Linked DNA regions of Lepisosteus oculatus. The protein of the gene in region 4 purifies or fractionates together with the protein of the main gene of each other region. This does not show direct contact. Links are inferred from orthologs where the notes say so. Each region holds a gene or a part of one and is shown on either strand. Other genes may lie near its edges.

What was found.
Region 1: the proteins of eif2ak2 (region 4) and adar purify together in Homo sapiens (affinity purification with mass spectrometry; 3 studies listed by BioGRID and IntAct, with this or other methods). This does not show direct contact. The link is inferred for Lepisosteus oculatus from reciprocal best matches to the Homo sapiens genes EIF2AK2 and ADAR.
Region 2: the proteins of eif2ak2 (region 4) and stau2 purify together in Homo sapiens (affinity purification with mass spectrometry; 3 studies listed by BioGRID and IntAct, with this or other methods). This does not show direct contact. The link is inferred for Lepisosteus oculatus from reciprocal best matches to the Homo sapiens genes EIF2AK2 and STAU2.
Region 3: the proteins of eif2ak2 (region 4) and dhx30 purify together in Homo sapiens (affinity purification with mass spectrometry; 3 studies listed by BioGRID and IntAct, with this or other methods). This does not show direct contact. The link is inferred for Lepisosteus oculatus from reciprocal best matches to the Homo sapiens genes EIF2AK2 and DHX30.

Annotation. Positions count from the first base shown.
Region 1 is NC_090722.1:6,554,530-6,562,009, forward strand, and holds the start of adar (double-stranded RNA-specific adenosine deaminase), read left to right. Parts: upstream 1-4,323; 5' UTR 4,324-4,383; coding exon 4,384-4,561; intron 4,562-7,345; exon of another isoform or gene 7,346-7,480. Other genes in the region: ilf2 (interleukin enhancer-binding factor 2 homolog), read right to left, coding at 154-158; uncharacterized protein, read left to right, coding at 2,401-2,939, 3,653-3,932. UniProt on the Homo sapiens protein: Catalyzes the hydrolytic deamination of adenosine to inosine in double-stranded RNA (dsRNA) referred to as A-to-I RNA editing.
Region 2 is NC_090701.1:53,322,905-53,330,063, forward strand, and holds the start of stau2 (double-stranded RNA-binding protein Staufen homolog 2), read right to left. Parts: upstream 3,041-7,159; 5' UTR 2,855-3,040; intron 316-2,854; 5' UTR 307-315; coding exon 108-306; intron 1-107. UniProt on the Homo sapiens protein: RNA-binding protein required for the microtubule-dependent transport of neuronal RNA from the cell body to the dendrite.
Region 3 is NC_090701.1:26,019,144-26,027,071, forward strand, and holds the start of dhx30 (ATP-dependent RNA helicase DHX30), read left to right. Parts: upstream 1-4,823; 5' UTR 4,824-4,829; coding exon 4,830-5,025; intron 5,026-6,623; coding exon 6,624-6,751; intron 6,752-7,045; coding exon 7,046-7,156; intron 7,157-7,639; coding exon 7,640-7,824; intron 7,825-7,928.
Region 4 is NC_090712.1:6,726,624-6,734,907, reverse strand, and holds the start of eif2ak2 (interferon-induced, double-stranded RNA-activated protein kinase), read left to right. Parts: upstream 1-5,051; 5' UTR 5,052-5,195; intron 5,196-6,037; 5' UTR 6,038-6,049; coding exon 6,050-6,156; intron 6,157-7,107; coding exon 7,108-7,243; intron 7,244-8,076; coding exon 8,077-8,225; intron 8,226-8,284. Other genes in the region: gpatch11 (G patch domain-containing protein 11), read left to right, coding at 128-177, 587-813, 1,055-1,096, 1,528-1,648, 1,923-2,013, 2,275-2,382, 2,777-2,858, 3,743-3,798.

The DNA.
Region 1 (7,480 bases), on a different chromosome or scaffold from region 4:
TCCGACACGGGTACGCTAGCTAACTCGAGACCCGAGGCCTGATATGAGGCCTACTTGAGAAGCCGGATTTCAGTTCTGCCAGGACACACCGCGTTGTCAGATTGCGCACAGAAAAAAACAGTTTTCCCTTCCATCTCCTTTGAATTACTGTACCTCATTGCGTACGACGTCTTGACAACTTGAGGGAAGCCACAAAGAGAAATCTTCGGCCGCCGACCTGTCCGCTGGCGTTGCTTCACTACCCAGGGAAACAGCGTCTCCGAACGAGATCGACAACCCAGGGAACCAATCACAGGCGCCAAACGCTTTTCAACAGCAAGAGGCGATTGGTGAGGTGGGGTAGGGGGCGGGGCTCGCAGGCAAACATCCCACATGATTGGTTCTCGTCTAATAGTCTCTGATGCACTTTCGAATGATGACCACTAGAGCGCAGCACTGCAGAACACACTCGGACAATAACAAAGCGAGTGACTTTTCACCAGTGCAAGCGTCTAGCAGAGTGGCGCAGCGGAAGCGTGCTGGGCCCATAACCCAGAGGTCGATGGATCGAAACCATCCTCTGCTAACCATTTTCATTTTTCAGATGAGCCACGTATTAATCTCATTTTACAGCATAGAAACAACACGTAATATAAAAAGCAGTCATGCACACACCTGAAATACTTTTCACACAGGTAAAAGTGTTCCTCTGTATGTTAATGTTGTGTGAAACCTGTCGTAGAAACATCTGGATTAGGCTGAGGTACATCCCTGGTCAAATTTCCCATTGGCCCTTACCAATCATGGCCTCCTAATAATCCCCCTCTCTGAACTGGCTCCATCGCTCTGCTCTCCTCCCCACTGAGAGCTGCTGTGTGGGGAGTGTTCTGGCGCGCTATGGCTGCCATCGCATCATCCAGGTGGGGCTGCACATTGGTGGTGTTGGAGGGGATCCCCATTACCTGTAAAGCGCTTTGAGTGGAGTGTCCAGAAAAGCGCTATATAAGTGTAAGCAATTATTATTATTATTATTATTATTATTATTATTATTATTATTATTATTATTATTATTATTATTATTATTATCCCGGTGGGGCTACTAACTGGTGCTGGTGGAGGGGAGTCCCCATGACCTGTGAAGCACTTTGAGCGGACTGAGAAAGGCGCCATATACGTGTAAGGATTTATTATTATTGTTGTTGTTGTCGTGTGGAAGTTCAAGTAGGGAGCTGTGTCATCAATCGTAGGCTTCTAAGGAACCAGCAAAGGTTTATTCCATGCTGAAAAGAGAAGAAAAGGAAACGTTTCGGCTGTGGAGCCTTATTATCTTCTTCTTAACATTATAATTATGTGGTATTATACGGTACGGCACCAGAGGAATCACGATGGCGAGACTCGGTAAATAAGTGCAATAAAGGAATGCAAATAATAACAATAATAATAATAATAATAATTGCTTACACTTATATAGCGCTTTTCTGGACACCTACCTCTCTTTTATTTTTCTTTGTTATTTTTCCTTGTGATTTTACTGCTGTTCTGAACGTCTTATCAGCGCTCTTGTTCCCCTCGTTGATGTAATTTTAATGAACAATCACGATTAGAATTAATGGTTAGCTACAAAACGCGCTTCACGGCGAATAGAGACATTCGCCCTGCTGGCCACACGGGGGCGCTGTGGGGGAGCCCTTCCGGGTCACTCGCTCAGACTCTCGGCGAGGGAGGCGTTTGTGTTTTTATTATTTTTAGTTGTGGAAGATTTTAAACGACTTTATTTTAGTTTTTTTTTTTCCTCCGGGGAGCAGTCTCGTTTCCCGCTCGCTGTAGAGGGGGAAATGAGCGAGTCCAGTCTGCGCTGGGACACGGGGTGGGTGAAGACTGGCTGTTTCAGGACTGATCTCTTCCCACCTGCTTGTCTTTCTCCTGCTGTGATCCTCACTATAGCAGCATCCTTCTCTGTGTCTCTGTCGGTCCACTCCTGTCTCTCTCCCTGTGTCTCTGTCAGTCCACTCCTCTCTCTCTTTCTCCCTGTGTCTCTGTCTGTCCACTCCTCTCTCTCTCTCCCTGTGTCTCTGTCCACTCCTCTCTCTCCCTGTGTCTCTGTCGATCCACTCCTGTCTCCATGTGTCTCTGTCTGTCCACTCCTCTTTCTCTCTCTCTCTCCCCCCCTGTGTCTCTGTTGGTCCACTCCTCTTTCTCTCTCTCCCCCCCCCCGTGTCTCTGTTGGTCCACTCCTCTCTCCCCCCCCCCCGTGTCTCTGTCTGTCCACTCCTCTCTCTCTCCCTCCCTGTGTCTCTGTCTGTCCACTCCTCTCTCTCTCTGTCTCTGTCTGGTTCTTGACAGCTCTTGCTCTGCGCAGGTGCTGTGACTCTGGGTGACGGTTCTGTGGGGGTCTTCTCCAGAGCCCCGCCCTGGAGAGGGATGTCTGCGTCCGAGGGGGACGTCGGGGGCCGCGTGTGTGCGTTCCTGCGGACAGGGGCGCAGGGAGGCGAGAGGGGCCACGCGGCTGGGGAGATCGCGGCGGCCCTCGGGGGCCCCCCGGTCGGGGATGTCAACCGAGCGCTGTACGAGCTGGAGAGGGGCGGCGCGGTCCGCCGGACCAGGACAGAGCCGCCGCTGTGGAGCCTGGCGGGCTCGGAACCGGAGCCACGCGCGACCACCGGGGCGTCCCCTGAACCCGGGCCCCCGGACCCTCAGAGCGTCCTGAAGGTCCTCCTGTCGGCGGGCCCCGGCGGGGGGCTGCCCGCGCACCGGATCGCCCGCGAGCTCGGCGTCTCGCGGAAGTCGGCAAACCAGCAGCTGTACTCGCTGCTGCGCGGGGGCCAGGTGGACAAGACGGAGGGGCCCCCCGTGCTGTGGAGGCTGCCCAGCCAGACACAGGGCGAGGGGGCAGAGGGGCCGCGCACCGCCGCCCCCTGCAGGCCGGGCGTGCACACTGCGGCCACGAACGGGAGGGACAGGTATGTAGACGGGGGCAGCCGGCATGAGGCCCTGAGCGCTGACTGGCTGAACTAGCGGAGAGACTGGGGGCAGACTGCTGCCATGGTTACGTGGGCGTGAGCCGTCGCTGCCGAGGCGATGGGCGGGGCTGTGGGTGTGCCAGGCAGAGAGAGGGAGAGCGGTCCTGTGTCTCTGCTCAGCACTCTCGTCTTCCTCCTCTCTCTCCTCACTCCTCCCCCCTGCCTCTCCCTCTCCTCACCCCTCCTCCCTCCCTCTCTCTCCTCACCCCTCCTCCCTCCCTCTATCCTCTCTCACTTTCCCCCTCCCTCCTCCTCACTGCCTCTCTCTCCTCACCCCTCCTCCCTCCGTCTCTCCCTCTCTCCCCCCACCCCTCCTCCCTCTCTCTCCCCACCCCTCCTCTCCTCCTCCCTCCCTCTCTCCCCCCACCCCTCCTCTCTCCCTCTCTCTCCTCACCCCTCCTCCCTCCCTCCCTCTCTCTCCCTCCCCCTCCCTCCTCCTCCTCACTGCCTCTCCCTCCTCTCTCTCCTCACCCCTCCTCCCTCCCTCTCTCTCCCTCCCCCTCCCTCCTCCTCCTCACTGCCTCTCCCTCCTCTCTCTCCTCACCCCTCCTCCCTCCCTCTCTCCCTCTCTCTCCTCCTCCCTCCCTCTCCTCCTCCCTCTCTCTCCCTCCCCACCCCTCCTCCCCCTCTCTCCCTGTCTGCCTCTTTCCCAGTGGCCCTGTGCCCCGGCCTCAGCCAGCTGGCCCGGGGGAGGCCCACGCTCTGGCAGCCAGCTTCCAGCACCTGGCCCTGGGGGAGGGGACCCGCCGCGAGCCCCAGGACGTGCTGGGGGTGCTGGAGGGCCTTCCGTCGGGGACCACTGCCCCGGCTGCGCTCATCGCCCGGAAACTGGGGGTCCCCAAAAAAACAGCCAATCAGCACCTGTACAGACTGCTGCGAGAGGGCCGTGTCCGAATGGAGCAAGGGACACCCCCAAAATGGGGTGTTCCATGAGGGGCACCTAGCTGTTGTGCTTCAAAGGGAAGAGGAATAGAAGATGAATATAAAGATCGTTGCGTTGATGTACAGAACAGGTAGAAGGCCGAGTGGTCAGTTATCATGTCATTTTCTGTTTCTGGAATTAAAACCATTCAGCTTTTTGTTTCATTTTTGACCTGTAGTGGAGAACATGGTGCCTGTGCACTGAACTGACTGCAGGCAATAAACTTCTCCAAACAGAACTGGGCTGGAAATTGTGACTGTACTGCCTGACACTCACACTGTCACACTGACACACACACTGACACACTGACACACTCACACTGTCACAATGACACACACACTGACACACTGACGCACACACACTGACACACTCACACTGCCTGACGCACTGACACGCTGACACACTCACTGCCGAGCACTCACACTCACACACACTGGCCCTGCACATCGAGGCTGCCCCCAGATGTCTGAGCCTACACCCCCCTTCACAGGCTTCTACCCCTCCTCTCCCCTCAACCAATCCGTCGCCTGTTTTCGACGTCATCGCGCCGCTCTTCCTGTTTTCCGACGGCGAGGCGGTGGAGCCCACAACACTCTGCGGAGCCTGAGCTGCACTGCCAAACCCCTTAATCCATCTGCAGGTAGGGAGCGCCTTTCTCGTTCGCCCCGGGTGGGTGTTCGCGGAGACACGCGTGGCTGGTGTCGGGGAGTCGGGCCGGGGACGGCGGCGAGCCCAGTTGGTCTGCGCCGGGAGATGTGGCCCCCAGCCGCTCACGACCCGCCTGTGGTATCGCGACATGACGTTCGGGGTGCGTGGAGTGAAGGCTGGCGAGAGTGGGCTGGAGGCGGAAGAGGCAGGGGTCCCGGGTCGCGCTGAGGGGGGGGGTCGGTCGGAGCCGATACTGGCTGTGCATCTGTGCGTGTGAGAATTAGAGGCATCGGGGGGCGTGTGATCGCGAGTCGGAGCTCTGCAGGCGCTAGGGCCGGTCCTGCCGGTGTCGCTGGATGTCGGGACATCAGTGGTTCAGCATGCACAGTAGTTTCAGCGCGCTGCTGGCGCTGCACAGGGTGGTATCGTTGCGGGGTGGTCTGGCACGGCTTGGCCCAGGACGGTATTGTACCGGCTCGGGCTGTGCAGAGCGGGCTGCAGGCGAGCACACTTCTCCTGTCCCGCAGAGCTGTCTCTGGGGACCGCAGGAGAAGGACGCCGGTGCGTCTCCCGGACGTGTTCGTCCTTGTCCGCCCCGCACACGAGTCAGGCTGTCAGCCTCTCTTAATGACAACAACAACACCAGGAATAGTAATAACATGTTGTTTATCAAGTCCCTTTCCAAGCCCACTGACGCCGTGCATAGCGATGAAGAGAGACAGAAAAACACGGTAAAAGGTCAGAGGAAAAATTAAGCCAAAACATCCAGGAGTCGAAGCAGGAGGGTCAGTCTGCAGCAGTGGGGACAGTGAGCGCAGCACAGAGCCGTTCAGGGCTGCCGAGGGACCAGATTATTCTGAGGCTGGAAGCCAGTTAGGAGACAGGCAGTGCTGCAGAGATGACCGCAGAGGCGGGCAGTGCGAGGTTTCAGTGTGTCACCTCTTGTTCTTCTGGCCATCGAACTGGACAGATCCGCCCAGACGGCCTTCCGCCACGCTCCGGACACGCCGCACAGCACTCTGGGTACCCCGCAGGGCCACCGCCACAGTCGTGCCTCCTTGATTCGGGTCATGTCCGGTCCGGAGCAGACGGGCTGTGGGGTATGGTCCTGTACACTGGGAGCTCCCTGGACCCGTCCTGCTGCCCTGCTGGTTCTCTTGGACACGCAGGACGTGTGACCCCAGATAGCAGGGTGCGGGTGTGCGGCGGGCAGGGTCGGGCCAGTCTGGGTCTCGCTGGTCAGTGTCCGGGCCTCACGCAGCTGGGCCTCCGTGGGCAGTACCAGACACCCCTGGCTCTTTCACCCACCGATTCCTCCTGCCTGATCGGACCACAAGCCAGGGGAGACAGGCAGGAACTACGGGGAAGAGCATTTAAAGCCAAGGACAGGAGGCACTGCTTTACACAAAGGGTGGTGGGGGCGTGGAACAGGCTGCTCAGCTGTGTGCTTGAAGCTGGTACCCTGGATTCTTTCCAGAAACAGCTGGTTGAGATCCTCCAATCAGGGCAGGAGGCACTACTTTACACGGAGGGTGGTGGGAGCATGGAACAGATCCTGAGATCAATTGACTACTAACGACCCAACGGGCTGGACAGGCCGAGTGGCCCCTTTGCTTTATAACCAGTCCAGTCCAGTTTAATTGTCGTGTGCACCACTGTTCTCAGTGCCTGTCCTGGTTTCCCTGTGTCCCAGTTTGTTCTGGGGGTAAAGCTGTCTGTATCTCTTAGGATCTCACCTCCCTGCAAGTCCTCCTCTCACCCTCTCGTGTTCTGACTGGAGAGGCCCGGTTCCTCTCTGAGACCCACAGTCTCTCTGCAGTGTGCTGTTCTGACTGGAGCGGCCCGGTTCCTCTCTGGGACCCACAGTCTCTCTACAGTGTGCTGTTCTGACTGGAGCGGCCCGGTTCCTCTCTGAGACCCACAGTCTCTCTGCAGTGTGCTGTTCTGACTGGAGAGGCCCGGTTCCTCTCTGAGACCCACAGTCTCTCTGCAGTGTGCTGTTCTGACTGGAGAGGCCCGGTTCCTCTCTGAGACCCACAGTCTCTCTGCAGTGTGCTGTTCTGACTGGAGAGGTCCGGTTCCTCTCTGAGACCCACAGTCTCTCTGCAGTGTGCTGTTCTGACTGGAGAGGCCCGGTTCCTCTCTGAGACCCACAGTCTCTCTGCAGTGTGCTGTTCTGACTGGAGAGGTCTGGTTCCTCTCTGAGACCCACAGTCTCTCTGCAGTGTGCTGTTCTGACTGGAGAGGCCCGGTTCCTCTCTGAGACCCACAGTCTCTCTGCAGTGTGCTGTTCTGACTGGAGAGGCCCAGTTCCTCTCTGAGACCCACAGTCTCTCTGCAGTGTGCTGTTCTGACTGGAGAGGTCTGGTTCCTCTCTGAGACCCACAGTCTCTCTGCAGTGTGCTGTTCTGACTGGAGAGGTCTGGTTCCTCTCTGAGACCCACAGTCTCTCTGCAGTGTGCTGTTCTGACTGGAGAGGCCCAGTTCCTCTCTGAGACCCACAGTCTCTCTGCAGTGTGCTGTTCTGACTGGAGCGGCCCGGTTCCTCTGTGGGTTCAGAGCCACAGCTCGGTAGCCCTGCTGCTCTCGGACCCTGACAGGGAGTCAGTGGCTTGAGTTCCTACACGTTGCCAGCTCGGCTCCGACCCGGCGTGTCAGAACAACAACAAGAAGACGGACACGTCCGGACCAGCCGGTGTCGACGCGCTGTCGGGGGGGGGTCGGTTTATTCGGTTTGTGTGGCGCGGGGCGGGCGCGCGTGTGGGGGTCGGGGTCCCCCTGGCGGCGCCGCGCGGGCACAGCGCCGGCTTCATGGAATCGGAGCGCTCGTGCGGAGAAAGGAAACCGAAACCGGAGCGAGGACAGGCGCCGAGATTGCAGCGAGAGGCTCGCGCTCCTTCCCCCTCCGCGC
Region 2 (7,159 bases), on a different chromosome or scaffold from region 4:
GACACCTGTTCGGTGCTCTCTCTAGGGAGAACCGTGCCTGGCTCTACCCCTGGGCCGATGCCAACACTAGCCGGTCTGGTTTTCAAACCGAGGATCTTCCTCCCTACCTGGTGGGCTCGCAGGGGCAGCAGAATCCAGCAGGCCGGTGGCGGGACTGGGGCAGCTGGGCACAGGGGCTGGAACTGCTCCGTTGACAGAGGGCTGCAGACTGACAGGGCCTGGGCTGGGCACCGCGGCAGGTGGCACGATGGGGGACATGCCAGGCCCGGGCAGGCCGGCCGCCGTCTGCACCTTCACTTGTGCCATCCTCTGTACCTGTAAGCGGAAGACAAAGGCAGACGGACAGCTCGCACTGTTTAGGGGGTCCTCCTCAGCTCACATCACGGCCCCCTGCAGTGCGAGCTGTCCGTCTGCCCTCCAGAGACACGCGGCCGGACTCTCGCCCGCGACGACGCTCCCCGCTCACGGGATTCGCAATACGTGGAGAAGCAGGGTCTGAAATCAGCAGACCTGCTTAAGAATCTGAGGCCAGGAGGAAAACAACAGCTTTTTAGAGCTGTTCACAAGCGGTTGACAGGCACAGAGCCCTGGCACGCCCACACAGCTCCCAGCAGCTCTCTGCACACTCACTAGGGAAACCTATCCACGCTGGCCGACGGAGGAGCCCTGAGCTGTCTGCACTCCTGGTCAAAACCGAGGCGACAAGGCTATCGAGGAGCGTCATGTGATACAGGCCCTTTCACAGCGTCTGAAAGAAGCAGGGTCAAGCCTGCAGTCTAAATGTCATTCCTTCACTCCAGAGCATTGATTCACTCCTCGCCATATAAATTCAAGGTCTCTTTCTTAGTAACCAAATACATGGAAATCGGTTCAGTATCTCCCCCCAATCCTAAATATTCAACAGGTCTCTCAAACATCTCTCGAGCTGAAGGGGTCTCAACTCTGCTGTTGCTTTAAACAGCCTTGAAAGACACAGCCACTTAAATTCAAGGTACGGAACTTACATTTCTCCATGCTATGGCGAAAACAAATAGCAGTTTTAACACCTGCTCCATTTTCCAGTGTGAATAATATGCTTGTACGGTGTAAGTTCTCCTAATGAGGATAGACAAGAGCTTATAACTAATAAAGAGCTCTGTGCTGCCATTTTGCCTGTTCCTGCTGTATGGGTCACAACACAGGACCCATGCAGCAGCTACACAGATTTATGTCCTCTCCTATCTATCCTGTAAATGTCCTGTTTATCCAGTGAAGTCAGGGGAATATGCTCAGGCTGACACCCTGGCTTCTTCCTAGAAACAGCTGAAAGAGATCTTCCACTGAGGACAGGAGTCACTTCCTTACACAAAGAGTTGTGGGAGTGTGGAACAAGCAAATCAACCACATTGCTGTCGGAGATGGAGTAAATCCCGGACCCTCATTCTCTCACAGGGGCGACTGATTGAAGTTACACCTGCTGTAGCGCCAGGAGGGGGAGCTCTACACCCGGGAAAGGGCTCTGTCAGAGTACTGTGACCCCCGTTTACCGTAACTCTGCGTGCAGAAGGTATCATCGGATTTCATTCACACCACTCTCTGTGGATATTTTAAACCGGGAATACACTCAACCCGCAAAGCCAGGACACGGGACTGGACTACAACAGTGTGCAGAATTAAAAGAACAAAATAAAAAAATGCAATTATTTATTATTTAAAGTTGCACGGTAATGCAGCAGTTACACAAATCGCCGATTCGTTCTTCTGAAATGCTCCCCCTCGCAGTTCAGCTCACCCTTCGGGACTCTGGACAACAGCTACAACGTGCACTTCCCGAGCACCAGTGACAGCACATCTGGACCTGTCTGAAACCGTACGTCACCTTTCGCCACATACTGCAGTGCATGAATCCTTCTGTGCAGTTAATTTCCTAATTATATCACGTCCGCACCGAAAACATTTCCGGCCCTCAAAAAGTTGGAACTAACTTGCTTTTATTCTTTTTTTTCCCCTTCGTACCGCCAGATGATTAAAGTTTTAGTTGCAAGAATCGTAGTCACAGCTGAATACTGTATAATATTTTAACGGTATTCACAGTTGAAAGCTTTAACCTATTTGATCGATAATAAACAGAAAACGCCACAGAAAAGTTTGTTTTTCTAATTGCCCCGCTTCCAACCAAAACCCAAAGAAACGTTTTTTTTTCCTTTATTTGACCAACGTTACAGAAAAGACCTGCAATCCAACCATGCATACCGCTCACAATTATTTCCGACAACCAGGTACGAACTGTCCCTCCCCTCCTCATACACACCCCTGCAACCTTGGCTAACACAGTGCAACACACACACACACAAAACACACACGAGCTTGTTAGGAACGACATGACATTAAATGCACGAACAGGCTGAGCGCCCGGCCGTCGCTATTAAAATCCGCTTCCAGCCGCCCGGTGCCGAGCATCACGCCTCGGTCTGCACGTACCGGCTCGGCTCGACCCGGCCCGACCCCGTCCAGCCCGACTGACAGCGCCGCCCTCCCGCCACCGGGGCGCCACGGCCCCCGGGCTGCATCGCCACCGACCCGCCCGGCGCTGCCCGCGGTGCTGCCAGCTGTTGGCGAGCCCATATCGCCTCGCTGCTGCTGCTGCTGCGCGATTCAACGCAGCACTGGGAGCACGGCAGCAGGCATCATGGCTGAAAAACAGGCGAGCACCCCCGAGCCCCGCATCCGACACCGTCGGCTTCGTCATCGCCGCGGAAGGAGCTGGGACCCGGGCGGATCGCCGCAACATCACTGGCATAACGCTTACACGCTTACAAGCCCCCCGAGGCGTTTCAGCGAGGCGTGAAGTCACATTTAACGTGCGTTATTTTACCTTTTTCCCAGGGACAGAGCCCAGTTACACCTCCAACATTGGCAAACACTAAAGAGAAGAACTGACGGTCACCGGGCGAACCACTTTTATCCGTCAGCGATACCGGCGTAGGGGGTGGGGAGGGGGGCTGAACGGCTCAGGTGCGGGCGATTCCGAACCGTCCGGATTTTGTTTCGATTTCAAAAAAAGTTAGAGGATTCCGCCTTTAACGTGCAATAAGTAACGCCAGGCCAGAAAGTAGACCAACTCACACCCCCCCCCCCCCCTGAGCACTTGGAGTGGTAGAGTCTGGTTTCCTGAGCGAAATTGGACGGCGGTGCAGTTCGGGTCTTCCTGCGCACGGAGCGGCATCGCCGGTGGCAGTGATTAGCAGGGGGCAGAGCCGTTGCCAGAACTACTGTCGTGCATGAAAACACGGGCCAGGGTTAAGATCCGCCGGCACCAACGACAACAACAAAAAAAAAAAGAAGAAAGGAACAAAATGGCTTATAAGCTTTTCGGGACCTCGCCGGCTGGGCTGACACGTGTTGAGTGGTCTGCACGGACCCGTGAAAAGATCAAGCCGTGGGACCTCGACATTGTCAAGCGGAATCTGTTCGTGCAGGACCGACTGGGTGCATCCCAGAACAATACATCCCGCCACGTCAAATGATCCGAGGTCTGTTTCCATCCAGTATGAATGTTAGACACTTCCAAATTTAGGAAGGGGGCAGACTACTGAGGGCCCTGTCCTGATTTCTTGTGGGTTTACATCTCCCACCGCCGGCCACGCAGAGTCTGTAGTGTTACACAGCCTCATGAAGTAAAACAAAAAGAGGTTGATCCTGGACTCGCATTCTCGCTCACAGGGGCAACTGTTTTAAACTACACCTGCTGTACAGCCTGGTGGGGGAGCTCTACAAACTCTGTCAACATGCTGTAAATACCAGTCTGTCGTAACTCTGCGTGTATAAGAGGCCATCGGATTTCATTCACATTACTCTGCGGATATTTAAAAATGGGGTACACACTTATCCTAGCTGTGCACAATAATGAACTGAAAAGTGGGTAAAAATTATGAATTGAACGGGAATTCAATTGGAAGTTACCAGAAGGCCTTTCATAAACTTTCTCATGAACGATTTCTCTAAAGTGCACAGAATAGACGTGCATATACCTGGATTAAGATTTGCTTAATGCAAAGGAAAATGAGGGTACAGAATTTGGGTGAATACTCTTCCTCATTTATATCCATGATCTAGATTCAGATAAAGGTAGTAAACTAATCAGTTTAATAGATTACACAAATAAAGCAAGTGGATTTGCAAACCCTGCACAAACTACAAAATAATAATAGAATTCAAGTTTGGGAAAACACCTGCCAGATTCTTCATGTAGACAACTGCAGAGAATTACATACAGACGTAAATATATATTTATAAAATAGGAAATACTGATCTTGAAAATGTTTATGAAAAATGCATGACTTACATCTGCAAAAATGTGGGCAAGTAAAAAAAATCTAAAATTTTAGGATATACACAAGTCAGAAGCATAGAATTTAAATTTGTTAATCTATGTTAATGTCTGCCTCAGTGGTCATAGATAGCAAATAAGTAATTTAGAATATTGTGTTTAATTCTGTGGACTATAAGACACAGACCATTGCTACTCTAGGTGCAAAGCAATGTCCTACACGAAGACTAAAGGAGCTGAATCTCTTTAGTCTTGTACCAGGTTCCTTTGTCATATTCGCTGTTCAAGTATTCAGAATCCTCAAATTAAACGACAAATCGACAAATTAAACGCAAAGGACTTCAGCAGAATGAGCTGTGAAACACAAGCCAGAGGACACGAGCGTAAATTATGTATTTAAAATGGGGAATATGAGGCAATTCTTTGAAGAAAGAGTTGTGGGAGTCCTGGAATAAGCTACAGAATCATGTTGCTCAAACCAATACCCTGGCTTCTTTCAAGAACGAGATGGATGAATTCTCAAGTTCACTTCTAAAAACCAAATAGATTGGGTCAAATGAAAGTTCAACAGCCAAAACATTTTCATGCTACTACTCAGCCTGAAATTAACCTCTGCTATTTCCCTTGTTCATCTTCAATTTTAATGCTCATAAGCATTCAACACGATACATTCGCTTTACCATGACAAAAGTCAGCTGTATGGCTGTAAACCTAGTATGACAAGATGTTTGATATTTTGAAACAAACCGAAACACAACCTGCGTCATTCAAGTGACACTGGGAAAACCGACACAATGGAAAACACATGGAACTTAAGTGGATTCTGAACCGTACACAAACTATTGTTTATACATAGAGCTCAAGCTGCAAATAATATATTATCAGTTTTAAAGCCATTTCTGCAGGACTCTGTAACAAAATCCTGAAACGTCTGGGATTGTAATGGTTACGGAAGTTGTTACTTTAGGATAGTGATTCTCAATATTTATCAGGGATGGCCTAACAGGACTTGTCGGGAATTGAATACTTGGAATAGTGGTTATCTATAACAAATCAAGTCAACGACTGAAGTCTTTAGGGGATCCAACAAGGAATCAATAAGAAAACCACAAGGGATTCAAGTACCAGCAGTGAATGTGGAAATATCTTTGGGATAAGTGGAGTGGGTGAATTGGGAGGGGTTGTGTCATATTTTAGCAGGGCTAGAGGCTGATCTAACTAGGTGATCAAGAAGTAGCAAGAGACAGGCATCTTAAACGAGACCCATCTCCCTAAGACTAGCCAGCATTAAGCTGAGTAGGAAATAAAGTGTCTACAGGTGGCCTATTAAGTAATTTTTAGATTTAATGAATTGCTATCCAGGGGAAACGGGACCCTTAAAAATGTAGCCATGTGAAATGATTTCATGAAAGCAGCTGCACAATATGCACTGAAGATTCCTTCCTTAGCACAGGGTGAAGTGTGGCTCAGAATGCTTTTAACTACTGGCAGTCAGTAAAATGTGTTATATCCCCTTATATTTGAAGATAATTTGAATTTAATAATTACATTAACATTGAAGGATAAGCTCTTTAGCAATACATTATACAGAATTCCCAGTTGAAAGCCTGGAATCTACTGGTAGATGCGAAAAGATTTAAAAAACATTTTTCTGAGCTCTCTATAATTAGGATGAATACCTCTCAGTAAGTGTAATAAGCCAATTATCAAATCAATGACCACTGCAGGCCTCCACCAGAGGCCAGGGGTTAACACTAAAGAAAAGTTCACCGTTCCAACCCAGGCTAATGCACTATTCATTTGATTACAATCACTGCCACATGCAGCTCTTGTATTTTATTCATAATATTCTATTCCTTCAATAGTATTGGAATGAATGATTGCCACTTGAGAGGGGAATCAAGGGATTTTACTAGGAATAAAACAAGGGCAAGAATAAGTATTTAATAAAAGCTGCAAAAGGAATAGCTATAAAATCTTCTGCACATTAGATTTTGATTCAAGATTGGTCAAGATTGTGGGACACCAGGGTTACACCCCTACTCTTTTCGAGAAATGCACTGGGATTTTTAATGACTACAGAGAGTCAGGACCTCGGTTTTACGTCTCATCCAAAGGACGGCGCCTGTTTACAGTATAGTGTCCCCATCATACTGGGGAATTAGGATCCACATGGACCGCAGGGTGAGCGCCCCCTACTGGCTCCACTAACACCTCTTCCAGCAGCAGCCTTAGTTTTTCCCAGGAGGTCTCCCATCCAGGTACTGACAAGGCTCACACCTGCTGAGCTCCAGTGGGGTGCCAGTTGTGAGTTGCAGGGTGATATGGCTGCTGGCTATATATATATAACAGATTACTTCAGGGCATGCCAGGTGCATGGACAGGATAGAACTATTTTCCTTTTGGAAGATCTTGAACCTGGCCTTCTCCACCTGATGTACATTATTGTTCTTGCTTTAAGTTCACTAGATGTTTTTTTAAAAATATTTTAAAAAAGCTTAGTATATAAAAAAAAGGTTTTGGACATTGGATTCCAAGATATCACCGCACACACAGGGCAAAAAAGAACCCAGGAAAACAGAATAATTTCTGGCTTGAAGGAAATGTCATATTACATGTGACTGGCTTAGGGAAACTGCATCTTTTAGTCATGTGGAGACTTGATTCAACATCATGAGAAGCACTGAGCAGGTTAAGTCAGGGGACCTCTACAAGATCTGCAGTAACGCAAGCGTTCGGGGATGCAACTAGAGTATTCAAGACAGAAAACAGGAAAACATGGCTTTTTACAGATGACTCTGGGAATCTGAAACCAGCTCCCTACTCTTGTAGTTAAAGCCGACTGATTGG
Region 3 (7,928 bases), on a different chromosome or scaffold from region 4:
CCCAAGACAATGTAATTTCTTTCTCTGATCACACTTTAATGTAAACTTTACAACGAGTGTATTTTACCTTACACAAAATAACAGTGCTTTAACTTTGTACATACTTAATCTAAATATAAAGCAGGAAAATATAGCAATATAGCAATACAATACAATACAATAGCAATACAAGGCACAGCCTTAAAATAAGATGTAGAGTATGTACAGACCTAGAGTAACTTGTAGCAGTCTTCTGTTTAAAGGTGATTTGGGCTGTTCAGTTTTCCATTCCTTAGATTAGACTCATTCACTATGACAGACTTGCTCACAGTCACTAATGTCTGGGCTAGTCTTGTGAGAATTCACTCATCAGTCACAATCTGAAGTAAAATTATACAGTGAGACCTAATAGACACTTCCTCATGAGTTGAAAACTGGCAATTCCTATCTGCACAGTAACTAATCTAGCCCTGAAACTGAACTTCAGATAGCATGAGATGAATCTGAATTTTCACAGGAATTGCATTAAACATATTTAAAGAACACACATGGTGCTAACATCTAGTTTGCAAACATGTGATGTCACATATTTGATGTACCTTACCAGAATGACTGGACTCTGCTTTTAAATATTGTTAGAATTATTTTCCGTTTTGGGATCTTTTTCTGCTACCCCAGTTGATAAACACGTTAAATTCAGAAACAATCATATCGCAAAGTTAAAGAAAGCTGATAGAACAGATAAGTTCTGTATATAGTTAACCAATAGCTGTAAATTCAGCAAGGCACAGGTTAACTCTAATTAATCTAAAAGCTCCAGATCCTTAAGGCAAAGGGGTCCCAGTTGTGAACACCATAGGCTCTCTTGCTAATTACAAAGACTCGGTGATCTTCGAGTCAGCAAATAAAGACACTCGCTGCGAAAGCAGCTTCGTTTGATCAAGGAAAGACGGTAGCTTGCTCACATACATACGACTCGGTCAGCAGCTATTATTGTCCGCAAGCACAGAAATAAGACTCGAAATAAAAAAAACAACCGCTTGAACTAGCGACTGACACAAAACAACAACACAAGCTACACTCAAAGAGCATACGGTAGGATCAGGCGTGTCAGCTTGCAGACACCGATAATTACGCTGCAGATTTGTTTTTTCTTGTAATCTGTTAAAACACGTGAACCTCATCAAGAAGACACATTAATAAAATAAAGTACAAAGTCCCAAGTAATTGCAAACTGTTAATCACACGACCACATTAGACTCCGTATGAGCATCTCCAGCCCTGTGAGCATGATGGGGTAAACAGGTTTAGCTGAGTCAACACAGATGGAACAGATCAGTAGCTCCGTAAATACCTGCAATCCCTATCTGTAGATAAAAAACAATAATCCTGAACACGTGTGAGATTTTATTCAACCTGCAACCTCTATATGCAACGCCTTAATTATAATATTCGTATAAGCAAATATCCTGAATTCGCATCCTACAAACACATTGTTTATTATTACGGCTACCATGCGATAACTTTAAACACAGCTTTCGTAATTCAGTGCGCTGCTATTTTCTGCTCTCTGGGGGATCCGGTGTGACAGTGCAGGTGAAGTCGACCCTCCCTCACTTCCTGAGCCCGAATTATAAACAGGATCACATGCTCTGCGATTCCAGCCACAAAACAGCGAAGGCGGTGAAATTATAAAAGAACGCATCACAAGCACCTTTTATAACGCACGATAAATTGATATCTTACCTCAGTTTTCGTGATTCAGCACCAAGAAGCGGCCTTACATATGGAATGAAACTTCTTTTTCACATGTTAACACATCCCGCAGAGCCCTCTGCCATCTCGCCGCATACAGACCTTCATTTTCCAGGAACAGGACGTCACGCGTTGACTACCCGTCCCACGCCGCAGGAAGGAGCACGAGCCAATGGTGAATGAGCTGCCGGCACAGAAACTTTACCGGCTCCCAGTACAGCAGCGTACTGTAGTTTTATCCAGACTGTAGTGGGTACAGTTCTTAACACGGTATATAATTCTCAATGCAGTTTTTTTCATTGTAGCGTGCTCAAAGTAACGAACAAAATACATTGTATTTATATTACAAATATTTTTTTTGTTTTTCTCAAAGTCTCTACAGTGTCACAAAGCTCAACAGAGATCACAATTTGCAGTGTCTTGATGGGTCTTGGACGTTAGATAGGGGGTTAATGTGCTGTTTGTACCACCAGGACTTGAGCCACAGTAACAACCTTGCAGGAGCCCCAGCTGGGTTTAGGGCAGTGTCTTCCAGACTAGGGAGACTTTGAGCCTTGGTACTCTCTCCCTGAGGTATTGTTCAATCAATCAATCATGGTTTATTTATTAATGCACAACAATACAGCATACAGCGGTGGTTGTCGGCAGTGAAATGCATTTTCCGCGAGCTCGCCAAGGAGAGATGGGGCAGAATTTGATAGAAGGTTACAAGAAGAATACAATAAATTATTGGAACAATTTACAAGATTACGCAAAATCTTGTAATTCTTGCAGGCATAAAAAAAATTGAGGGCGAGGAAAAAACACGGGAAAAGGCTGTTTTTAAATCTGCCGGTCTTTGCAGGTTTCAGTATCGTTTCCAGAAAGACAAAACAAATTGTGGCTTGGGCAACTGGGGTCCTTGATTATAGACCTGGCTTTCCTGAGGCATCTACAGTAACTGAGTAGATATCCTCAATGTCTGGTAGTATGCAGCCGGTGATGAACTGTGCTGATTTCACCACCCTCAGCAGTACTTTGCGATCCCAGGCAGAGCATCTCTCATACCAGGCAGTGATGCAACCAGTCAGGATACTCTCAACAGTGCATCTGTAGACGTTGGCTGGAATATGTAATGGCATGCCAAACTTCTTTAGCCTGTGGAGAAAGAATAGGCACTGCTGTGCTGTTTTGACCACAATGTTGGTGTGGTGAGACCAGGTTAAGTCCTCTGTGATGTTAACACCTGGGAACTTAAAACTGCTGACCCTCTCCACTACAGACCCGATGATGTAAATGGAGCTTGGAGCTTGGTGATAAGCCTTGACGGTACAATGGTGTTGAATGCTGTGCCGAAATCAACAAACAGCATTCTCACATACGTTCCTTTCTTGTCTAGGTGTGAGAGGGTAGTGTGTAGAGCAGTGGCGATGGCGTACTCAGTTGATCTGTTCTGTCGGTATGATAATTGCAGTAAGTCCAAGGTGTCAGGCAGTGAAGAGGTGATGTGTGCTCTGATCAGCTGCTCATTCCTCTGGCCTTCAGTCACCTTCGTAATCCAAGACTCCAGTTTCCAACATGAGAAGAAAAACCTCCTGCTCTGGGTTTTAAATGTACTCCCTCATAGTGTCCACTTGTGTCCTCTGGTTCGTGTTTCACCTATGGTTCAGATGATATCTGCTGGGTTCACTTTGTCAATGACTTTTTGGATTTGGGAATCAGGTCCCCTCATTATCTTTTCTGTTCAAGACTAAATACATCATGTTTTTTTCACCTGTCAGGGTAGGGATGCAAGAAGTTACAGTTCATTTTGACGTAGATTTAAAATAACTTTATTATAAAGGGATTCTGGAGAGTAAAGTAAATAGGAAGTCATTTAATCAAAACCTTAACTCTGAAACTCACAGCGATGACTTTCATTTTATAACATCCTGCAAACAGTGAATAATCTCCTGTGATCCTATAAATGCCATGTTAGAAAAGCACGAACTCAGAATGGATGTAAACACTGACACAGAGTACAGATTGTCCAATCAGTCGAGCTGCCCACCTTGTCAGCTAAATAAAAATATTTCAGAGCCACAAAGTAACAATGGGTGTCCTACCACCATGAAGGAAAGAAAAGTGTAACTACAGGTAAATGAGAACATGAGAGGCTTTAAAAATGTGAGGCCACTTGGCCCATCTAACTCATTTGGTAGTTAATTGGTCTGGGGATCTCATCCAGTCATTTCTTAAAGGAAGACAGGATGTCCAATTCAAAAACATGACTAGGTAGTATGTTCCCTACTCCCACAGAACTATGGGTAAAGAAGTGCATCCTGTTCTCATTTTTCTATAGGAGTTTCCCCTTGTGTCCTGTGCTTCACATTTCACGGTTCATTCTGAAGAAGTCAGCTGGGCTGAATTCTATACATTATAGCCCAGGAATGTGTCCGGTCACTCTTTTCTGGTTTGTGCTGAGTCTTCCTGGTCATCGGGAAGAAGATGCAGGAAATAAAGAGAATACATAGAATGATTTAATATGACCGTATTTAGAATACTACATCCAGGTTTAGTAATCTCTACAAAAATGAGCTTTTCCTGCATCAAAGCGTGGGGCCCTTGCAATTAACACTGCTGCCTCACATCTCTCTTTCCTGATTTTGATTCTGGGTGCCTTCTGTATGGAGTCTGCATGGTTTACCTGTGTTCACTTGGGCTTACAGTTTGTTCCCACCACCCAGACACATGCAGGCAAGGTTCTCATAGTCTCTGTCTGCTTGTGTGTCTGAGTGCCCTGTGATGGACTGCTGTCCCATTCAAGGTGTCTGTGCCCTGTGCTTCTGGGGTAGGCTCCAGGACACCATAATCCCAGGGGATAAGCAGCTTCTAATAAAGGGAGGATGGAAAGAAAGAGTTAAAAAAGAGCATCATAAACAATTCCTGCTCTAAAAGGAATACCAACCAAAGAATGATAAAAACCAAACTGAATGTCCTTTACCATTCAAGTAAAATAGAGCAGTGGAATCAGCGTGTGTGACATCCGCCGGGCTTGCAGGCGGCGCTGTTGGGGCGGTCTTGAGCGGTGCTGCACCGCTACACGCTGTTTCCAAGGCTAGTAACCAACTTTAAAGATGGCGGCGCCCGGCGTGTTCCCCGTGGGGGTGCGAGTTTATCGGATTATTAAAGGGATTTCGTGCGTGATTAGGAACCCTTGTAAACACAGCTGGTTTGGGGTCTGTCGGTACCGGACTACCGGGTCCAGACAGTTCGTAATAGAGGCAGGGAAGGAGCAGGAAGAAGAGAACCGAGTGGCGGAGATGAGACGAGGTAAGATGACAGCCGGGAAGCTTATGCAGTAGCTTTGGAGCATAATCTAACAGATTTCTCTGTTTTCTGAAATGTGTTCATTAAATAGATAGTCTGACATCGTGATATCACGATATAAAGTTACGGTGTCTCCAAACTAGGTCTGTTGTGCAGAGGGGTCATTTCAGTCTGTACAGTACCTTACCGTGACGTAACGGTGTTGCTAGGGGTCATACAGGTGTAGAAAGGTTACAGCAACATCTCTACGTTTAGAGCAGACGCTCTATTAGAAATAAAACTTTGATATAGCTCTACAAAAAGATAATTCCACATTAAATTAAATTAAAAAAATTAAATTTGTTTCTTTACTTTTATTTTGTAATTGCCAATAAGTACAAGGTAAATGTGGACATTTCAGACCGTCCACAGGACTGGGATTCACGTTTCGTACAATTCATTCGTAAATGCCCTGTGTCCGTTGTGATATTGTGGCTCGTACCACTTACCGTTGCTGTACGGTTTTCCGTGAAATTGGAGCTTGATGTTCAAAGGACAGCGTTGCTTCAGTTACTTCTTTGCCGAGTTATTCAATTTTAGCCGGAGAATAAATAGAAACATAACTTTGTGAATTTGTTGCAGTTATAACAAATCACGAAAAAGGCAGCTTTTGTACCAGGTTTTAACTTTTTAAATTTAGCAATTAATGGTGTTGTGGTGATTAATTTCTTTTGATGCCCAGTATATTGTATTAAAAACAATAACAGGATTCCAATTATACAGAAATACCTTAATATGTAATATTGTATTGTATCATATTTAATATAATATGTATGTATTCATTATATATAAATATACACTTTATCCTACAATTAGCTTTAAATGTGCTAGCACATTTAAAGCTCTTCCTTTTTTAGTGACAAAGCTTAGTTTTCTGTTCTCTTTACTGTTTTTTATAATAGTGTATAATGTATAATGTATAATATAATGTTTCTTTATTAGCCCCATACAATTTCTTGCATTAGGAATTCGCCTTTTCGCATACCCCAGGTTTTCTCCATGGAGACACAGACACACAGACAGGGAGAAGCTTATGGTCAGAGCGCAGGGTCTGCCATTGTACGGCGCCCCTAGAGCAGTTAGGGTTAAGGGCCTTGCTCAGGGGCCCAACGGAGTAGGATTCCTCTGCCGGCCGCGGGATTTGAACCGGCAACCTTCCAGTCACAGGCGCATATCCTTAGCCACAGAGCCACCGCTCCGCAAAGTGCGGAGTACAGTTTACCAAAACTGTAAAGTTTTGGTAAAATTCATATAGCTTGTCTTATACGTACTTTGCTTATCTTTAAGTCATGTTTCATCTTATAGATAGATTTCTATCTTATTTTACATCACGGAGTTGTAAAATGCTCCAGTGCTAACCTGTTTGTCTGAAAATACTGTACTTAAATCCTACGGTTCATCTACACACAGTTATAATTTGATCACAAAGCTTTTTAGAGTCATCTCTCTGTACCTCTCTCTGTGGCTCTGTGTTTCTTTTTAAGTGTATCTTACTGTGTGTGCTCCCTTGAGAGTACATTGTCTTTGAGTGTCCCTCATTCTCTGTGTGTCTCTCTGTCCAGGCCGTAAGGAACTTCTGAAGGAGTTTCCTCATCCCAAGAGTCTGCTGCACAATTTGCTGTCCCGGGCTCTGGGAATATCAGACCTCTCACAGCACATCCTGTACAGCTGCACTGAGGGACATGTCAAGGTGGGCTTTCGCTGACAGTATACACCTGTACACAAAACCACATTAATGCCTGTACAGAGTCAAATTAATTCATGTGTACAATTTACCTACAAAACAACTGAGCTCAGAATGTCTTACAGAGGGATGTGGTGACAGGGCCTGTGCCTTGTGTGTCTTACAGAGGGACGTGGTGACAGTGTGTGGATGTGTGTGTGTGTCTCTCTCTGTCTGTCTTACAGAGGGATGTGGCGACAGGGCCTGTGTGTGTATATTACAGAGGGACGTAGTGACAGGGTCTGTGTGTGTGTTTTACAGAGAGCCACGGTGACGGTGCTGTGGCCGCGCAGGGTGGAGGCAGAGGGATTTGGCTCCCGGAAGATTGACGCTGAGCGGCGAGCTGCTGCAGCTGCCTGCATGATCCTGAAGGTGAGAGACCCTGATCCCTACAATACACTCAGAGGGCTGAGTTACATGGGAGGTGGTGCTGCCCTTTTCAGTAGCTGAGGCCTATCTGAGACTGTCTGGTTACTGAGGACTGGTGACTGTCCAATATCTGCATTAGGTATAGATGGCTTCCCTATCTGCACAGTTTACTGAAATCGTTTGGGCATATTTATTAGTATGCAGTACTTTTTCAAGTAGCAAGAGCAACTCTGAAAATTAGGCCTTACTCTTAATTCAGATTTCTACTGAGATTTTACTCTGTGGCTTTGGAATGCTATATTGCAAGTGACATGAAACCAAAATGGTAAATGGAAGTGTGTTGTATGTTAAATATTTCCTGCTATTTTCTCTCAAAAACAATTCCCTCTCTCTCATTCTTTCTCCTTCCCTCCTCATTTCTCTCCCCTGCCCCTGCATTTCCTCCTCTTTTCTCTAATTCTACTCTTTTGGTCTCTGCATTTTCAGAACATGGGGGTTTTGGGCCCAGGTAACGAACTGCCACGAAGACGAGCACTGCGTATGGTGAACCCCAGACCCCCTTCTCTGTCCACCGATGAGGAGGATGGGGAAGGGGAGGAGGCAGCGCTGGATGTCACTGACTTCATGGTTGACTCCAGCCAAGAGGTGCCAAGCCCTCCAGCACCTCCCAGGTACACCCTGCCCCCTACAGGCTCCCATATTTTACTGTGTACAGCCTAGTGTCTCCCCAGCATTTGTGTGCCTTCTCTGTCTCTCACTGACTCTTTTCCACTCC
Region 4 (8,284 bases):
TGTTGTACAAAGGTGCTAGCCGAGATTGAAACGGTGAGACACGGGAAGAAGAAGAACAAAAACTATACCAGCGCTTGTTTTGCAATAATTAGGAGAGGCGTTATTGTTGTGAAGTGTCTTTAGTGAGATGGCAGGCAATGAAGATGATTATATGTCGGATTCATTCCTTAATCAGATGTAAGATTTTATGTACTGTTATAATTGCATAGAAATAACCCAATTTTGATTAGACGGTGCAGGATACAATATTCTGTTCTGACTAGCAGGTACTAAAATCTAGGAAACTGCAGAAATTAAAATGATTCAGTCACCACCATTGTTAAAAATTGCAGGTGGTTAAAATAACTTGTATGGAAAATCGGAGAAAGGTTTAAATAAGTTAAACGAAAATAAGAAAATTTACAGAATGTCGTATTCAGAACTTTAAATCTTTCATAGACGGGGACTACAGATAGCATTTTTACAACCGTATACTATAATCACTAACCCTGGAAAACCCGGACACCTCTCTTGTTCACTCACTCCTGTCTGTCTGGTGTGTTTAAAAACTCTGTCCTACGTTTGGTTGTTGTGTCTCCACCCGAAGCAAGGACGTGAGGCCCGGCGTGCCTTTGCCGAGGAGGGTGAAGGAAGCGCAGAGGAAGGAGAAGCTGCACATGGAGAAGAACCTCCAGAGCCGGCAGAAGAGTTTGAAGGAGCAGGAGCAGGAGAGGAGGGAGGCGGTGCTGCAGAGCTCCATCGGGAATGAAAACAAGGGCTTTGCGCTCCTGCAGAAAATGGGCTACAAAGCAGGTCAAGGTCTCGGCAAAGAAGGTCGGTGTCTCTTTCTGCATTTAGACTAGAAAGCCCTGACCGTTTAATTGGAGATGAAGCTTGCTTTCAGCATAAGGGTAGCTTGTTTTATTTATTCCTGTCAAATTTCTCCTCATGGTCCACAAAACAATGATGTTGTTTTTGATTCTTCTCGTCTGTACATTCACGCTGTGAATATATGTGGTATATATATATATGTGGTGATAGACATCTGGTTAATGTATTGTTTGTGTTTTTAAAGGGGCTGGCAGAGTTGAACCTATCCCATTGAATATCAAAACAGGTAATAATAATACTTTGTGTTTTGTGATGTGAAAACTTTCAACTTTATTTGTGGTCATTCTTGTATGTCAGAAAAAATAAAAATTAAATAGAAGTTAAAAACAGGTATGGCTGACCATTTACAAATGTAATGGTTAATATATAATATTGGTGCTGTTTATGGTGTGAATTAAGATGAAAAAATATGGTGAAAATGAGAGAGTTTGTTTTTTAAAAAAAAGTCTCAAGCTATGTTTTGAACAGGGCATGTTAAAATCATCAAGTCATCTTCCAGTTATTCGTGGGTATTCAGTAAATGTCTGGACACATTCTGTATAATCTGTATGATTTGACCAGCTGAGGTGACCTTATTTGTCCTTATTCAAATCCTACATATTTCACTCTCGGAAGCTGCAAAGCTTTCAGGACAGCCCTGTGCTTGTTATTGATTAGATCGAGGAGGAATTGGGATGGAGGAAGTGAAAAAACGAAAAGCTGAGGAGAAGCTGGAGCACTACCGGCGAAAAGCAAACTTTAAGCAGCAAGTCGAGAAGAGAACATTGGATGACTTCAGGTAATAGAACAAAGAACAACACATATTCTGATAGTTTGTATTGCAGATTGTAATCCCTATTTGCTTTCTTGTATCTTTATCAGTTATTTTATTGTGGGTAAACTATTTATTATTTGAAGAACCATGTTGCAATCAGGCCTGATTCACCAAATGAAATAGGTTTTTAGTGCCCAGTGGTCAGTGATCTGAGGTACACAATCTGCCCCTAGTTTAGTACAGTGTAATTGGATGTTTTTAAATCCTGAGGCTTCCTCACTGCTCCGGGTCCTTTCAGAGTCAGACTGAGAACGGAAAGGGAGGAACGACAAACTGATGCAGATCTCAGGAAAAGCCAGCGTGCCTGTGAACAGCTGGACAGCCAGAAGGTTAGTGACAAAACAGTATCTCCCATCGGCTGGTTTACCATGGCTGGGCTTACAGTCTCATTACACATTTCAACTTTTTTATTTTACATAAACACTTTACATGTCTAGGGATTTAACCAGGGCATAAAGCCTAGCATTAATTCTCTTTTGGGTGGCTGTTGGTGTTGGATCAAGGCCTGGCTCAGGAGCAGTTATGTTTTCTAGTTGTTTTTCTGAGGAAACGTCACATGGATCGATGTGCTCTTTCTCCCATGTCCTCAGGGGATCCATGCCCCCAGGGAGGACTGGTACTGGCCAGTGTCGGGGACTGAGGAGCCGGGGGAGGAGGAAGAAACTGAGCAGGAAGAAGATGAGGGAGAGGAATTAACAGTCAGTAATACCCTTTCACTTTCAACCTTGCTGCATAGGCCTTAAAATTTGTCAAGAAAACCAAGGGAAACAAAATACTGTTTTCTCTCTGCCTGTGCGTGTAGATAACCATTTGATTTGCCACGAAGCATTTCATCTCCTTACTTGAATATCAAACCTTTTAAGATTGTTGCCAGCTGCAATTAGACAGCTATAAGATCTGCAGAGTCTCATGAAATCAGACAGAAATCTCAGTTGTTTGTACCAAAGGGATGTTTACCCTGGGGATCCCCATTACCTGTAAAGTGCTTTTAGTGGAGTGTCCAGAAAAGTGCTATGTAAGTGTAAGGATTATTATTATTCTTTGCTTTCAACTATTTGATTAAGAAAGAGTATTACTTTTTCTTTTTCTCAGCCTTTGGAAAAATTACAGATTCTGACATCATATCTGAGGGGAGTGCACTTTTACTGCATATGGTGTGGGACATCGTACGATGGTAAGACTAAGAAATGCATTGATTACTGCAGGATGTACTACAATAAAGTTCTAAGGCCTATCTTAAATATTTAGCTGATTGTACCTGTGCTTCAGTACTGTACTGCTATAGCTATACATCTCTGCTATAATCCATGGCCTCGGAACAATTATTTTTTTTAAATAACTGTTACTTAGATGAGTATTTTTTCTAACTTCATAGGCTACAAACTACGAAACATTGTAATATTCCTTTCTCCTTTAGTAGGTTATAGACTGAACATACCTGAATTCTCTAGGTCAGTGTTTCCCAAGTGGCATACCATTAGGAAAACTTTGCATTATTCAGGGCTTTGACTGTCACTATGACTCATATTCATGTTTGTCTAAGCTGCTCTGTAAAAAAAAGTAAAGAACTAGGCTGCAGTAATGATTGTTGTAACTAAATATGATCATTTAATTTACACCTACTAATCTACACCTCAGCAATAGTATATTTTATTTTTACTCTCTAAAAACTATGCAGACCTTTTGAGGCTCTGAAGAGATCTTAAAAACTGCTTTGTGGTGGACTTCTCTATTTTGTCCCATTTTAAAAAATTCTGCTGGAACTATTATTTCGCAGATATTAAGTTTCCAAGGTAACGACTGTTCCAGTGACGGTAATGAATGCCCCCGTCACTCCTTGAACACGGAAGAAACGTCAATGTTGTTTTTGGAAAAAAATGTTTCAAAAGTAAAATTTTATATATAGTATGTTCATTTGAGAATGTTTGCTTTGACATGCAAGCAAAATTGTTCAAACTTTTCATGGTAGGAGGTGGATAGGTTTTTGCCCAACATTTTTGTTGACGCAAGTATGCATGCTGTAGGCTGGGAATTGACTCAAGTTATGTTGCCCTGCAGATGAAGAAGACTTGACAGCAAACTGCCCTGGGGACTCGTCTGCAGCCCATGACTGATCAGGCCAGAAGAGGGGCTGAACAGGAAACTGAAACTTTTCAGATGATGCCCTTCTTTCACAAGAAGAAGGAGGAGGAGGCCCTTCTGGGAACAATAATATAGACGGAACAGGCCTAGATGTGGGATAAAGCTGATCCTACGTACACCTTGGATGTGTGATTAAGTAGACGTGATCTGATGTCCACAATCACAAAACAGCAGACAAAAGTTTAAGGTTTACATATAAAGGAGATAAAGGTTTACAATTCACCGTGATAGATCCAATTAGAGCTGAAATACTAACAGATATGTTGACATTGTAAAATATGCATTAGTTGTGTTGTTGTGGTCATGAAATGGAATACGAATAATAACATGCAATTTTATTTACAATTTTTTGCAAATTGTGCAATTCTATGTATAAACATCATAAACATTTATGATTTAAACATATAAACAAATAGAACATCATTGCTTGCATCTAAAATATGAACTATTAATAATGTGTTTAAAATGCAATGGTGTATTTGTTTTTAAGTGTATTCATAAAAGTGGTTAGTACACATTGCATCTGTGTTGTTTAGTTGTATATTTTATGTACTGTCCTTTTTGTAAAATGAAAATAAAATATTTTCATGTGTTGCAGTAGCTTACCTTCAATAAAGCATTTGGTCGAGTCTTGCAATAGGATGTAATACAGTCACATTTGCACTACTTAAAGTTGAAACATTGTTGGTAATGCTTTGGTCATTTGTATCACATCCATGAAGTTCAATGCAATGTCCAATGTTAAGGTAATTCATTGTTTAATCAATAGTATATTCCTTTTTTTGTGTTTTAGGTGTTAAAATATATGGGTAACCTAAACTAAGAGTGACAGTAGTTATAAAGAAAAGACCAGAAATCTAAAAAAGCATATCTGAATATAAAAAATCTTTTTATGTTGTTTTGCAGTGTGCTGGGATAGAAACATTTTCAAAGGTTAAAAGACACGTTCTTGTTTGCAATTTGAACGACATACTTGTTCAGTTACCCGGAATGTAATGCATTTCCTAAAATGTTAAATTACAAAGAACACGTATTGGTAACTGAAGTTAGCACGCACAAATCATTCGATTTTTTCCATCCTCATAAATTGAAACCACGTAATATCATCATTTTAGAAAGAAAAATCCTTCTTAAAATGTAACTTAACCCCAGGCCAGCTCCCGTCCTGCAGTGTAGTATCATATTTTAGCAGGCTGGCGGAGCTGATTGGCTGCGCAGTACCGGTAGTTGTTCTAGCTGTGACGTTTGGAGTGGGAAATGAAACTAAACTTTGCTGCTGAGCTGCAAGGGGAGAGAGGGTGAAGTGAAATTTAAAGTCAGTCGTGCACTAACCTGCAGGTACGGCAAGCACAACATAGGTTTATGATCTGTAAGTATACTGATATTTATTTGCGAGATTAGAGTCAACGTCGGGTTTTAATCTTCAGCTTCGTTTTGTTAGGAGTTGGTTCAAGAACGGGGGATTGCAGCAGCGTACACGAACGTTATTTTTATCGGCAACTGTAGTACTGATACTGGTTTGATTTAACACTTAGTGCGCGTTCTCCAGCTATGTTCCTGCAATCACATTGTAACAATCAGAATTATTTCTTAATTATTTGTATGTTTTTTTCTTTTCCATAAACAATTGCTACGGGCACACTGTTAATTGCTTTGTGTTCTTCATTTTTATTATAGTCAAGACTCTTCTATGACATAGGCAGCATTGTTTACAAGTAGGACTTCTCGTGTGAAGGAATCTCGTTTTATGTATTTTTTGTATAAATGAGTTATCTGTATCGGTTAATGTTATTGATGTTAATGATGGTGAAGGTGACTAAACGTCATTTGTTCTGTTTGCAGTGAATCAAGCTTAATATGGCTTTCAAGTTACTGTTATGATATTGGAGTAAGAGGTCTGCATTAAACGTCCAAATAGTCGTCTGTTTTCCAAAGCAAGAGAACAGTATCATAAGAGAATATTTATATGACCACTCGAATTATGCTACTTTTTGTGAGGAAAGAAAAGATATGTGTTTAGCATATGCTACATTTTGGCATCAGTGTTTTGTTGTTATGATGTTGCATTATTAAGAAACTTTAATTATAAGATGATACAGTTTTTTTAAAAACATGTTTCTCTCAAAACCAAGATGAGCTGTCATTAATAAAAACAGTCAAGAGTACAGAATTACAGTAGGACATTAGGTAAAGTATTTAATTGTCTTTCAGGTATTTTTTACAATGTCTCAAATGAATTATGTGGGAAGACTGAATGAATATCGACAAAAACATAATTTATCCCTGCAATATGTGGAGGTTTCCGCAGAAGGGCCAGACCATGTTAGACAGTAAGTTTTATCCTAAAGTTTGATCAAGTCTTATACTGTAGGTTCAAGATTTTAAGCAGCTAGACAATTTAGAGTGGATTGTGCTTATTTCACTGAAAAGCTGAAAGGGGCAAAATGACAACACCTCCTAACTCATTCATTCCACGTTCAAAATCATCATGTAGCACTTTATGGATCTGAAAATGTATATTGAGTAACAGTACAGTGATAAATGTTATACTGCAATCACAATAGCATTGTACAAAGTTATATTTATCATAAATTGAATTCCATTTTTTTCATTTCTAAGTATTCCTTTAAAATCCAAATTTGACAATGATATTCTGCAAGACAGTGTTTTGGAACTATAGTTTAGAACCTTAATGGAATTATATTCTGGAACTATATAGATGCTTCAGAAGATTTCCTGTTTCCATGGGGAATTAAAGGAGGTAACACATTTAGTAGGAACATACAACATGGTTAAGACTACTTGTAAAGTGGCCACTCTTGCAGGAAGACGATGTAAGCACACTACAGGAGGCATCTTGTGAATGTAATTCCTGCCACCTGGAGGATTTACAATATGTTACACTCTGTCACCTTAGATAGGGGCACCTGCTAAGCTCACAACAGCAATGTGTTGCATTCAAGTCAACCATGACTGGCCGGCCTTCACCAGCTGTCTGCAGCTGCACAGGAAGAGTGGTGGACAGTCCCACAGGACTCTGTCCAAAGGCCAATCAGACCTATGCATCAGTTGTGCTGGGATTGTGTTCATTTTTCAGAGGAGGCTGAGTTACTAGAGTAACTTTATTTTGTAACATTCTCACTTTGAATTTCAGAAAATGTTTTGGATTTCTGTTCTGTGATTCTGCCTGACAGTTATATTCCATACTTAAAATATTTGATTAAAACCCGTTAAGAGTTATTTTTTTGCACTCAGTACGTTTGCATTATTGTGTTATACAGATTCACAATGAAAGTGGTGCTGGACAGTCAGGCTTATCCTGATGGCGTTGGAATGTCTAAGAGGGAGGCGAAGCAAAATGCCGCAAAAAATGCTTTGGAAAAGCTATGGGTCGAAGTTTCTCAGCAGAATGACCCTGTGAGTATCAGCGTGGGCGGTTTTCTCTTACTCTGTGCTTTCCTTGACCATGCTTACAGTATGTATACTCAAATAAAATATACCATCTGTCCATTTTAAATAATAGCTTAGACCAATTCAAGGTTGTGGTGATCCACTGCCTAATCTGGCAGACAATAGACACAAGGCAGCATGCACTTTGAATGGTACACCCGTTCATTGTAGAGTGTACATACAGTTTAGAGATGGCAATTAACCTAGATATCCACCTAGTAACAGAGCAGGTCTTTGGATTTTGGGAGCAAATTGGAGCACCCACATGGTCTTGGAGAGATCATGTGAACTACACCTGGGAGGCACCCCCAGCAGGACCCAAGAACTGTGAGGAAGTAACATTAAACTGCAAGACCCCCTTAAGTAAGACCAAACAATACGTAAACTTTGTCTGAATAGAGGTAGTATGTTCTCCCTGTGTTTATGTGGGTTTCCTCCAGGTGTTCCAGTTTCCTTCCACAGTCCAAAAACAAACTGGTGGCTTTATTGACTTCTGAGAAAATTGGCCCTGATGTGAGTATGTGTGTCTGTCTGTCCTGCGATGGACTGATGTCCTGTCCAAGGTTGTCTGTCACCTTGTGCCTGTTGCTTGCCAGGAATAGTATCCAGCTCCCCCACCACTCTGAACTGGAAGTAGCAGTTAGAAAATGGATGGATGGATAATTGATTCCCAAGAGATGCGGAAAACGTTTACTGAGAACCAGCATTAGGGTCTGAATTTAATTAGGAAAAAAAACCTATTGTGAAATTTTAGAACCTGTGAATGAATATAAAATCTGCTTCAATGCCATTTACTGCAGGTCAACAGCAGCAGGGAATCCAGTTGTCCTTCACCTGTGTCTACTCAGGGAATTAACCATTTGTGCTGGCTGAATGAATATGGTCAGAAGAAAGGGGTACTTGTACAGCCCTTTGAGAGGAGCGATGGAGGCCCACCACACATGCCACAGTAAGAATTTAGCCACCTCAAAAAAAAAAACCAAGCGGAGAAGAGATGAGTTCCCATCC